Arabidopsis thaliana: one gene and its partners. The protein of the gene in region 2 purifies or fractionates together with the protein of the main gene of each other region. This does not show direct contact. Each region holds a gene or a part of one and is shown on either strand. Other genes may lie near its edges.

Evidence for each region.
Region 1: the proteins of AT1G32880 (region 2) and BTF3 fractionate together in Arabidopsis thaliana (co-fractionation; one large-scale study listed by BioGRID). This does not show direct contact.
Region 3: the proteins of AT1G32880 (region 2) and AT1G73230 fractionate together in Arabidopsis thaliana (co-fractionation; one large-scale study listed by BioGRID). This does not show direct contact.

Annotation. Positions count from the first base shown.
Region 1 is NC_003070.9:6,151,837-6,155,869, forward strand, and holds BTF3 (basic transcription factor 3), read right to left. Parts: upstream 2,147-4,033; 5' UTR 2,030-2,146; intron 1,590-2,029; coding exon 1,522-1,589; intron 1,433-1,521; coding exon 1,284-1,432; intron 1,195-1,283; coding exon 1,138-1,194; intron 1,045-1,137; coding exon 1,006-1,044; intron 921-1,005; coding exon 736-920; 3' UTR 548-735; downstream 1-547. Other genes in the region: EGY3 (ethylene-dependent gravitropism-deficient and yellow-green-like 3), read right to left, coding at 1-349; GER2 (NAD(P)-binding Rossmann-fold superfamily protein), read right to left, coding at 2,642-3,606, 3,739-3,760.
Region 2 is NC_003070.9:11,913,392-11,916,625, reverse strand, and holds AT1G32880 (ARM repeat superfamily protein), read left to right. Parts: upstream 1-1,890; coding exon 1,891-2,016; intron 2,017-2,174; coding exon 2,175-2,302; intron 2,303-2,400; coding exon 2,401-2,698; downstream 2,699-3,234. Other genes in the region: NAC13 (NAC domain protein 13), read right to left, coding at 2,934-3,234.
Region 3 is NC_003070.9:27,539,681-27,543,674, reverse strand, and holds AT1G73230 (Nascent polypeptide-associated complex NAC), read left to right. Parts: upstream 1-1,722; 5' UTR 1,723-1,855; intron 1,856-2,310; coding exon 2,311-2,378; intron 2,379-2,464; coding exon 2,465-2,613; intron 2,614-2,712; coding exon 2,713-2,769; intron 2,770-2,853; coding exon 2,854-2,892; intron 2,893-2,984; coding exon 2,985-3,169; 3' UTR 3,170-3,447; downstream 3,448-3,994. Other genes in the region: AT1G73240 (nucleoporin protein Ndc1-Nup protein), read left to right, coding at 340-717, 814-1,278; OCT1 (organic cation/carnitine transporter1), read right to left, coding at 3,566-3,994.

The sequences.
Region 1 (4,033 bases), 5.8 Mb from region 2:
CCATAAACTTCTTGAACTCCTCGTCTGTTTTCCAATCCATCTCTTGCTGCTTCGACTTCTTTTCCTCCTCTTCTTCACTGCTCTCTGGAGAAGGCGGCGCATTATTGTTATCGTGGTCTTCTTTTTGCTCCTCCGCTAACGCCACCGGAGAAGGAGCTTCGTTCACAGGTTCACGAACGCGATCATCTTCCGCTGAACATCTCAAAGAATGTCTGCTTCTCGTTGTCTGATTCACAGAAGCTTTCCCAAAGTTCGAAAATTCTGCTCTGTCAAAGCGACGAAGATGCAAACTGTGACAGGATTTAAGAGTTAAGGAAGATGATGGAGTAGAAACAAAGAGAGAAGCCATGGTTTACGAAAACTCAGAAAGATTGAGATTTGACGACGAATAGACATGTCTCTGAGAGAGAATTTGTAGAGAAAGTGATGAAATGTCTGGAAAGTTTGAGAAGAAACTCATACAGTACAGGTGGAATGGTTTTTATGCAACAAGACAATGTGTCACATCAAAATCTTCTAATCCACATAGTGAAGAGGAAGAAGAAGACGAGGACCTGATTTGCTGTCAAAGAATCAATAAGACATCAAATAATTGGATAAAAACCTTAAGTCATTAGATGGAAAACAAGATTCTGGTCGGAAACTACAAAAAGGATCGAGCGAACAAACATATTATAAAGATATGTAAAAATCAAAGTGCGGTTTTTTTTTGGATGTGGTCTCGCTCTTTTCTCTCTAAGAAGAAGCAGCAGCAGCTGGTGCTTTCTCTTCAGCAGCAGTTTCGAATGTCTCTCCAACAAGCTCTGGGACATCGTCATCATCCTCTTCTTGTATGGTTGCTGAGGCGGCATTACCTTCACCAGAAGCCTGTTTCTGGAACTGTTCTGCTAGCTTCTTCAGGTTGTCCATGTTGTCTGGTCCTGAAAGAGATCAAAGTAACATAAAGTTAGAGACCTTAGGATCGATGAAGAACATTTAAGAGCTGTACAGTTACATGGTACACACCAAGTTGGCTGATGATCTGAGGAAGGATATCTTGCAATTCTGCAGGAAGCAACACGTTTACATTAATCAGAGAAGATGAAATGAAGAAGAAACAAGAAAGTAGAGATTAAGAGATATTATGAGATGCAATACTTTTGGTCTGAGGAGAACCGCTAACAACCCATGTGTTTGCAGCAATTGAAGCTTGAACTGTAGTAACATTCAAAGGAGGAACAATGATCAGTAACATGAAAAAAAGGTTCTGATGTATAGATAAAAAATGGTTAAAAATGACTTACCCTTAGGGTTGATGAACTGAATAACAACATCATCCTTAAAGATGTTAACTTCTTCAATAGCGGGAATGGAGTTAACTCCAATTCTCTTAAGAGTGCTTTGAAGCCTCTTGTCATCAGTTGTATTGGTCTTGTGCACAGCCTTCTTCTTTCTGCAAGTAAAAATCGAATGGTTTCATAACACAAATCATAGTAAATGCTAAGTATTGAACAATGAAATTGGTTGAATAAAACTCTATACCTTCTGACAGTACCCTTTCCGCCAGTGCGGACGGTATTAGCCATCTTCATCAACTTCTCCCTATTCATCTGTGTATAAACCATAATAAGAAGCAAAATCCATCAATCCCCAAATCACTTCCAAAAGAATCAATGAACACATTAACTGCTAATAATACATTCACAAAAACTTCTTATTATACAAGAAACTAGTGAGAAGAAAGTAAGCGCGAACAGATTTAAACTCAGATGCGTATGAAGACACGGTGATGTGACTAGTAGTTTTAACCTAAATTTAATCATTTTCAATCGATTAGGTATACCAAATCCCCCAATCAAACACACAGAGAAGTTGAAAACCCAGTAAATTCCCAAACACCGACAAAAACTAATCCTATCTACAGAAAGAAGCGAAATGAATCAAGAAAGAAAGATATCTGACATTTTGCAAAATCGGGGATTAGAGAAACCCTAGAACCGGAGAGATAAAACACTAATAGAAAGGAAAATTACAGTGATAATGAATTTACCTTGAGATTAGGGTTCTTCCTTGTTCGAAGAGTGTGAGGAGATAAGAAAATGAAACAAAAAGAAAAGAAACAGAGAGAGGAGAGACGCGGGCGGCGCAGGGTTTTGCCCTTTAACTATATGCTATTCGGAGCCAACCTCGTCTCTTAATCTAACGGTGGATATCAGATATTCCATAAAGAAATCTCCATCACTACCGTTGGATGCTCGATGATAATATTGGCCCATAAGGCCCAAAACTAAACTGGGCCAATAATTATTTACTGGGCTCTTTTGTGCCGTAATCAATCACCAGTATTAGCGCGTAGCAAACCATAATCTTTTGGTTACCAGAATTTCAAAATCCACAAATTTATCTAAATGAGTTTATCAATGAACAGACTTGTTTAGTTGACTAAAATTTAGAGAAGAAAGCTATTCGATTATTGATAATCTCAACAACAATGGTACATTTATTACAAAGTAAGTTTGCTTAACTTGAACTGTATGAAATCCATGAATACAAAAATTACATAAAAGAGATAGAGAGATCTGTATAGAACCAAAAATCAAACGCATAAACATTCACGTGTAAAGAGAATGAATATTGCTTTGTGTTTTGGACCTTGTTTTTTTTACTGCTTCTTCTGCACAACATTTTCCAAATACCATTCATAAGTTTGGGAGAGGCCATCTTTAAGCGAAATCTTCGGTGTCCATCCCAAAGACGCAAGCTTCGAGCTATCCATCAGTTTCCTTGGTGTCCCGTCTGGTTTTGTGGTATCCCAAACAAGCTTTCCTTTAAACCCAACAACTTCTTTCACCAACTCAGCCAATTCTTTGATCGTCACTTCAACACCACTTCCTACATTCACATGCTCAAATCCGCTGTACTGATCCATCAAGAAAACACAAGCATCAGCCAAATCATCGACATGTAAAAACTCCCTCAACGGGCTTCCACTTCCCCAAACCACAACTTCGTCAGCATTATTGGCTTTGGCTTCATGAAACCTCCTCATGAGAGCAGGCAGCACATGGGAATTCTCCGGGTGGAAATTATCATTCTGACCATACAGATTCGTGGGCATACCGGAGATAGCATCCCACTGATGCTGAAGCCGGTAAGCTTGACACATCTTAATACCCGCGATCTTGGCGATCGCATACCATTCGTTTGTCGGTTCGAGCGGACCGGTAAGAAGCGCAGATTCGGGAATCGGCTGAGGAGCAAATTTGGGGTAAATGCAAGATGAACCAAGGAAGAGGAGTTTCTTCACACCGTGTGTATAAGCAGAGTGGATCACATTGGTCTGGATTTGGAGATTGACCCCAATGAAATCAGCTGGGTATGTGTTGTTAGCATGAATCCCACCGACTTTAGCAGCAGCTAGGATGACATAAACTGGTTTCTCTGTAGCAAAGAAAGATTCAACATCTGATTGGCTAGTGAGATCAAGCTCTGAATGGGTTCGAAGGACCAAATTGGTGAAACCCTGATCCTGGAGCTTGCGGACAATGGCAGATCCAACCAATCCCCTATGTCCAGCGACAAAGATCTTGGCGGATTTCTCTAACATAAACGAACCTGATTTCATCTCTGCACAGAATTACGAGGGATCAAAGACCTAGGGTTCCAAAATTTCCACGAAAATCTAAATTCAATTCCACAAAACTCCGTATATAGACATGAAACATTATATTCAGACATAAAATAGAGAGATGGACGTACCGGATCCTGTGTTGTCCGCCATTGTTTAGTCAATTAGTTCTACAAGACGATGAGCGATTGAGAATGGGGATTTTGACTTATAGATATCAGTTTTCGAAGTCAACGACAGAAGCTTAGATTTGTAGGTAAAGGTTAAATTCCTTGGAGAATGTAATGTGGAGGAGATCTGAATATCCGCCGGCGATCTGAATCGGTGTCGGATATTTTGTTATTCAGTTTATGGATCCTGGCCCATGGGCCTAAATAAAATAGTCACCTCACTCTCCGCCCATTTCGCTTACTTTTCCATCGTTAC
Region 2 (3,234 bases):
GTAAAAGACAGATTACTCATCGAAAATCTGTTACTTGCTACGGAACTAGTCAAGGACTATTATAAAGATTAAGTCTCTACCCGTTGTGCTATTAAAATAGATATCTCGAAGGCGTTTGACTCGGTCCAATTGGCTTTTCTGCTGAATGTTTTATTGGCTATGAATTTTCCTGCGGTTTTTATACATTGGTTAAAACTGTGTATTACTACGGCCTCTTTTTCAGTCCAAGTAAATGGCGATCTCGCTGGTTATTTCCAAAGTGCAAGGGGTTTACGTCAGGGTTGCTCTCTCTCGCCATATCTGTTTGTCATAAGCATGGATGTCCTCTCAAAGATGTTGGATAAGGCTGCCGGAGCTCACAAGTTTGGTTTCCATCCTCATTGTCAACGTTTAAAGCTCACTCATCTAAGTTTTGCAGATGATTTGATGGTTCTAACGGATGGTAAGGTTAGATCCATATAGGGTATAGTGAAGGTTTTTGATGAGTTTTATAAGTACTCTGGGTTAAAAATAAGTATGGAGAAGTCGACAATGTATATGGCAGGAGTATCACCTTTAGTGAAAGCAGAGATTGCAGCTCTTTTCCCTTTTGATATAGGTCAATTGCCAGTTCGATACTTAGGTTTGCCTCTTGTTACTAAGAGACTCATGGCTGAGGATTATGATCCTCTTCTTGAGCAGATTAGGAAACGCATCGCGTCGTGGACTTCACGCTACCTCTCATATGCAGGTAGCTCAACTTGATTCAATCTATCCTCTGGAGTATTTGCAATTTCTGGCTAGGCGCTTTTCGTTTACCGAGACAGTGTATCCGAGAGATTGACAAGATTTGCTCCGCTTACCTATGGTCGGGTTTAGAACTGAGTTCAAAGAAGGCAAAGATATCGTGGGAAAAAGTTTGTAAGCCGAAAATAGAGGGGGGTTTGGGTTTGCGAAGCTTGACAAAAGCTAATGATGTTTGTTGTTTAAAGTTGGTCTGGCGAATCATTTCTAATAGCAAGTCTTTATGGGTTCAATGGGTCACCACATACCTTCTTAGGAGGAAGCATTTTTGGACATTGAAGCAGAATACAAATGCAGGCTCTTGGATTTGGAGAAAAATACTAAAGTACAGAGACAAGGCGAAATAATGTGTACAATGCATCATTCTCTACCAAAGAAACGTGGCACCATATCAGAGCTCCTTCTCCCACAGTCCCCTGGTACAACGGGGGTTGGTTCAATCACGCCACACCAAAGTTTTCGTTTTGTACTTGGCTCGCGGTCCAAGATAGGCTCTCAACAGGGGAGCATATGGTTAAATGGAACAGAGGAGAATCGGGTCTCTGTGTGTTTTGTACTAACACTATGGAAACTCGTGATCATTTGTTTTTCTCCTGCAACTATGTCTCGACAATTTGGGGTGACGTAGCTAAGAAGCTATGGAAGACCAGATTCACAAAGGAATGGCCACAAATTCTGGCCTATGTTTCAGACAAGTCATTACAGCGAGTCGATGGTTTCTTAATCCGGTATGTCTTTCAAGCTACAATACACACAGTTTGGAGAGAGAGGAATGGGCGTCGTCATGGAGAAACACCGAACACCACGTCACACTTGATAACTTGGATAGATAAGCAGGTGATCGAAGATATGACAAGGGCAACGTACAGCTCACTCTAAACATTCTCTAAACACCTTTAATTTCTAACTATTTTTTTTCTCAGCTTTTCTCATTTTGCTAAACGTTGCACGAGTTGTAAAAACGTTTTGTTTTTTTTTGAATATAATTTAACATTTTTTCAAAAAAAAAAGAAGAGTAAATCAAATCTCTCTTTTACTCTTTTTCTTGATCGATTTGAAAGATTCTTCATTCACTCGAATGTTTCTTATATTACATGTGCAGAAGATATGCGTAATGTTTCTTATATTACATGTGCAGAAGATATGCGTGGTCCTATCGAAACAGTGATACGATCTGGAGCTGTACATCGTCTCATTCAGTTTCTTCTCGATGAAAGTTTCCCTAAGCTTCAAGTTAGAAGAAAAATTTCCCCCATCAAGTTGATGTTTTTATTGATGATCAGTGTAATCTTTGATTCTGATATATATACAATGATTCAGGTGCACAACATAAAACAATTTGTCTATTTGCTATCTCACTAAACTAAACTGTTTTCCCCTGGTGATAACAGTCAGTAATCGATGCAAATTTGATTCCAACCTTGGTCAAACTGACTCAGAATGCTGAATTTGACATGAAGAAAGAATCTGTATGCGCAATTTCAAATGCGACCTTACTTGGTTCTCATGATCAAATCAAGTACGTCCCTGTCTTATTTCTTTCTTTTTGCACTTTCAACTTAACATGCTTATAGATGATCATCAAAGTCACAATCTCCATTTATTGGTGTGATTCAGATACATGGTGGAGCAGAGCTGCATCAAACCTTTATGTGATATCCTGTTTTGTCCAGATGTAAAAACCATCTTAAAGTGTCTGGATGGAATGGAAAACACATTGAAGGTTGGAGAGGCTGAAAAGAACGCAGGAGACGACGTGAGCTGGTATACTCGACTGATCGAAGCGGAAGGGCTAGATAAGATTTTGAACCTGCAAAGACACGAAAACATCGAGATCTACGACAAGGCTTTGAAGATTCTGCAGACTTACTGGCTTGAAGAGGATGATGAGGATATACAACAACCTCCAAGTTAATAATCTAGTTAAGTAACATCATTTGTTCAAATATCCTAAAAGATAAGAAAATTCTTTTGCTTATTTCTATTGGTACTTTTTTAACAATACCAGAGAAAACTTCCAAGCATAAACTGTGATACTAAACAGCTTCTGAATCTAATAATCCAAGAGAATAATTACAATGACTTGACTCTCTAATGGTTCACACAAAACCAAGCCTTTATGTCTCTTAACCTCTTGGATTTTTCGGTTCTCACCATAACAAAGGCCTCCCTGAACCTCCCATTGTTCCTATGATCACCCAAAACAAAGCACATAAAGCCCCAATGATCGATAAGCAAAAGAAACCTTTGTTCTTCTTCTTCTTCTTATCGTTGTTTCCTCCAGACTTGTTCCTCTTCACTGCTGAGTCACTATCCATAACAACAACATTATTACCTGTGCTTTTAGAAGTAAACCTGAAACGACCACCACTGGTTGACATTCTAACAAGGTTCAGCTTCACAAATGGATTCTCTGATGCATATGCTGGCTTTGCAGGAATGGATTCCAGG
Region 3 (3,994 bases), about 16 Mb from region 2:
GTTAGCTGTGTTTGCAATCAAATGTTGCATTGATAGTATGTGTAGAATTGTTTTCCTGTTTTGTTAGTCATTTCTGTCTTTACTATTTATGTTTTGGAAGCCTATACCAAGGTCTGTCTGTCTTCTGTGTATGTGGATCAGTTCAAAGAAGACTCATATAAATTTGTATCGATATGTTTACTTTTCTTGAATAACTTAACTCTATTCCTACCTAAACAACTTTAAGTATTCATCGGTGAGTTTGCTCTGTGTATTACTTGTTACATCCATAAACTTCAGCTACTTTTCCAGGTTCTAGATACAAAAGAAGTTAGTTATAATTGTTGTTTTCATATCCAGGTTCTGCACACAAAACGGTTCAGCTTTGCTCCTCCAAAAGGATCTGCTGCAGCAGAAACGAATCCAAGCGAGCCTCTTCTTGCTGCTTTAGAAGGGAGCGCTCCAGGTTCCCTCGAGCAGTCTCTTGCATACCTTGATCTCTACATGGTGTCTCAGAATAATGTTGACACATGGCGTCGTGCTGCCTTCTTTGAGGAGTCCACCGAGACGTACAAAAGAGTAATTACTCTATGCTTGAGGCCTTTGGAAGAGCTTGCCTCCAAGTTAGCTTCTGGGCTAGACCACACCTTTACTGAAAAAGGTTATCAGACACCACTCCAGCCACCAACCGAGTCCTTTATTGATCCAAAATTCGGCGAATCACTTAAGTCTTTCCAGGTAAAACGAAATTCAAATTTTGATCCCTTTTCTATGTGATAATTTCTTCATGTAGCTGTAACCAAAATCTGTTTGCTCTGTATCCGATATTTGCAGCTATATGCATGGTGTGCTCAAACATCTGCATCCCTGACTTCAATCTCTCACAAGGAAGACAGGCTCGGAGTAGCTCAACTGTCTGGTGGAAACGCTGATGTTGTCTCAACACTTCTATCGCTTTTGCTAGCTATCGAAACGTTTATGGGGAAGAAGACTAATCTTCAATCACCTCAACAACTGATGGGACCTGCTAGTATCAAATGGGCGACCTCGAGTATGGTCAGAAAAGACGTTAAACCCATCAAAAGGAGTATTGGCGCAATGTACGCCTACGCATATGCAGCGACAGATGTTTTGAGGATATCAGTATACCAGATTCTATCCACATTCCGCGATGAAATGCTCAACAGCGACAGAGCCGGACTTCTTGGTAGAGATTGGATTGGAAGCAAGAAACCACCTTTTGGAACAAACGACATGCTCCTACAGAAGCTTAAGCTCTTCCTCGAGTTCCAAGCTTGATGGAAGATTAAAGAGGTACAATTCCTCGATTAAATGTGGTAACAAGTGTCATCATGATTCAAGAGCTGGATAGAAAAAGGAACTAGAGTATTTTGTTACATGATCAAAAAGCCTTGTATTGGAAAATGAAATCCCTCGATTTTGCAGAAATTTGGGATTAATCTTGTTTTTGGTAAACTAGAAAATTATATAAGAATCAAACTTTAATGGTAAGTTTTGCATCTTAAATCTTGATTACATAAATTTTGCAGAAGACTCTCTATATGCTTAACAGTAACTAACTCTTACGCAATTTACGAAGGAAACCAAAATTAGAATCTGAAATGGGCCAGAGATTTATTAGGGCCCATGGCGTGGCTAATAGTAATATCGAAGGAGAGATCGTGACCGTTGGATGATGATTAATATAATAATTGTATAGTGGTTAAAGCTTAGATTGGCTACATTACACATCGCATTTACTTAAAGGGCAAAACCCTCCAGCGCCGCTTGGATCTCTCTCTCCTCTGTTCTCTCTTCCCTTATCTTCTTCTTATACCCTTCGACCAACGAAGAACCCTAGAAATCGATTAACAAGGTAAGCCCACTTCAGCAAATCGTTCACTCATTTCATTTCCAAGATATTCGATTGTTTCCTTCTGATTTAGCACAAGGGTCAAGATCATTTTTTTGTTTTTGTTCTTCCTCGATTCATATGTTTTTTTTCATTGATTACTGTTTTTGATATTGGTTATCTTGTTTTCCAATAACTTGTTAGTTAGTTAAAAGTAATGTTTGTGTAATGGTGACCTAATCGATTGAAAAAATTGAAACTTTAGGTTAAGCTCATTGTAACAATACGAGCTTTGTTCTTCTCGCTGCACTGTTCTCATAATCCTAGTGTAATCAATTTGTGGGTTGTGACTATTGCTCAGTATTACTGTTTTTGTCATTGGCTAATTAATAACAGTATTAGTTATTGTATATGCTTAATTTATAAGATACATTTTGGGCTAAATGGGTTTAGCTTTGTGTGTTTGTTTTGAAAAACAGATGAATAGGGAAAAGTTGATGAAGATGGCTAACACTGTCCGCACTGGCGGAAAGGGGACAGTAAGAAGGTATACTCATTTATGTCTTTTCTGTGAATTTGTGTTTTTGCCATTTTTCATGTTATATTCTCTAAACATTTTGACTCTCATTTCAGAAAGAAGAAGGCTGTTCACAAGACCACTACAACCGATGACAAGAGGCTCCAGAGCACTCTTAAGAGAGTTGGAGTCAATTCCATTCCCGCCATTGAAGAAGTTAACATTTTTAAGGATGATGTAGTCATTCAGTTCATTAACCCTAAAGGTAAAACATCAAATTTTATGGCTTTATAAATCTCAGGTTTCGTATAAAATTTATTGTATTAATGGTTGTTGTGTCTCTGTTTTAATGTTGCTATCACAGTTCAAGCTTCAATTGCTGCTAACACATGGGTTGTGAGTGGTACACCACAGACGAAAAGTAAGTGTTTGTATCCTCATTGTTGATCCAATACTATTCTCGGTTTATGCATAGTCTAATCTCGGAATGTGAATTATCCTGCAGAATTGCAAGACATTCTTCCTCAGATTATCAGCCAACTTGGTATGCAGCATTAAGTGTTACACTCTGATGTCCTTTCCCAAACCAGTGGTCCCTTAAGTTAACATTTTGTTTTCTTGCTTTGATAATCGCAGGACCAGATAACTTGGACAACCTGAAGAAGCTAGCAGAGCAATTCCAGAAACAAGCTCCAGGTGCAGGTGATGTCCCAGCAACAATCCAAGAAGAGGACGATGATGATGATGTCCCAGATCTTGTAGTGGGAGAGACTTTCGAGACCCCTGCTACTGAAGAGGCTCCCAAAGCTGCTGCTTCTTAGAGGAGGAGGAAGAAGAAGGAGAAGAGCTCACCTGCAAAACCCATCATAAAAATGTTTGTCGCTCGACCTCTTCTGAGCACTGTCAGATTCTTGTTTTCTCTAATGCTTGCGAACAGAAAGACTTGGTTTTATTATCACTTGATGCTTTTTGGTCCGAACAGCAATTTTCCTTTTATTAAGGTTAGATCGCTTTTTGTTTACCACCTGTTCAAATGAGTACTACTATGTCCTGTCGCTTCATACACTTCTTGCAACACAGTCCTTTGTTTTGAGTCAACGATGTCTTGAGATGAACAATCAACAGTTTCGTACATTTAAATGGAAATTCCAAAGATTTTACATATTTCCAATTATTGGATGTAAACATTCCATAGAAATACAACACTCTGAATGCAATCAAGTAATCATGATTGTTTCGTTTTCGATCTCTTCCGCTTTCCCCTGTTGTGCTAGTGTTTCGTAAAGCGGAGCGTTTCGAGTTTCTCGTAGCCAGAGACTCACGATGCCGCTCAGCACTGATGCAACACCAAACACGATGAACGACATCATTGCGCTTTCCCTTCCTAACGCAACTAGCAGTGGTGCTGCAGACGCTCCTAGCATAAACGCTTGACGCAAAAGTGAGACAGCAGTGTTCCTAACGTTTGTTGGGAACAGCTCTACGCAGTAGACATATAGGACGTCATACGCTGTCGAGGATGCCATGAACCCAACCGCCTCAACTGCAAGTTGTAACCATTTTGCCACAGATATCGCACGGATCACGCGGTGGATCGAGAGAACCGCGCAGAGCAGACACGCGAATCCGGCGAGGTATGATGAATT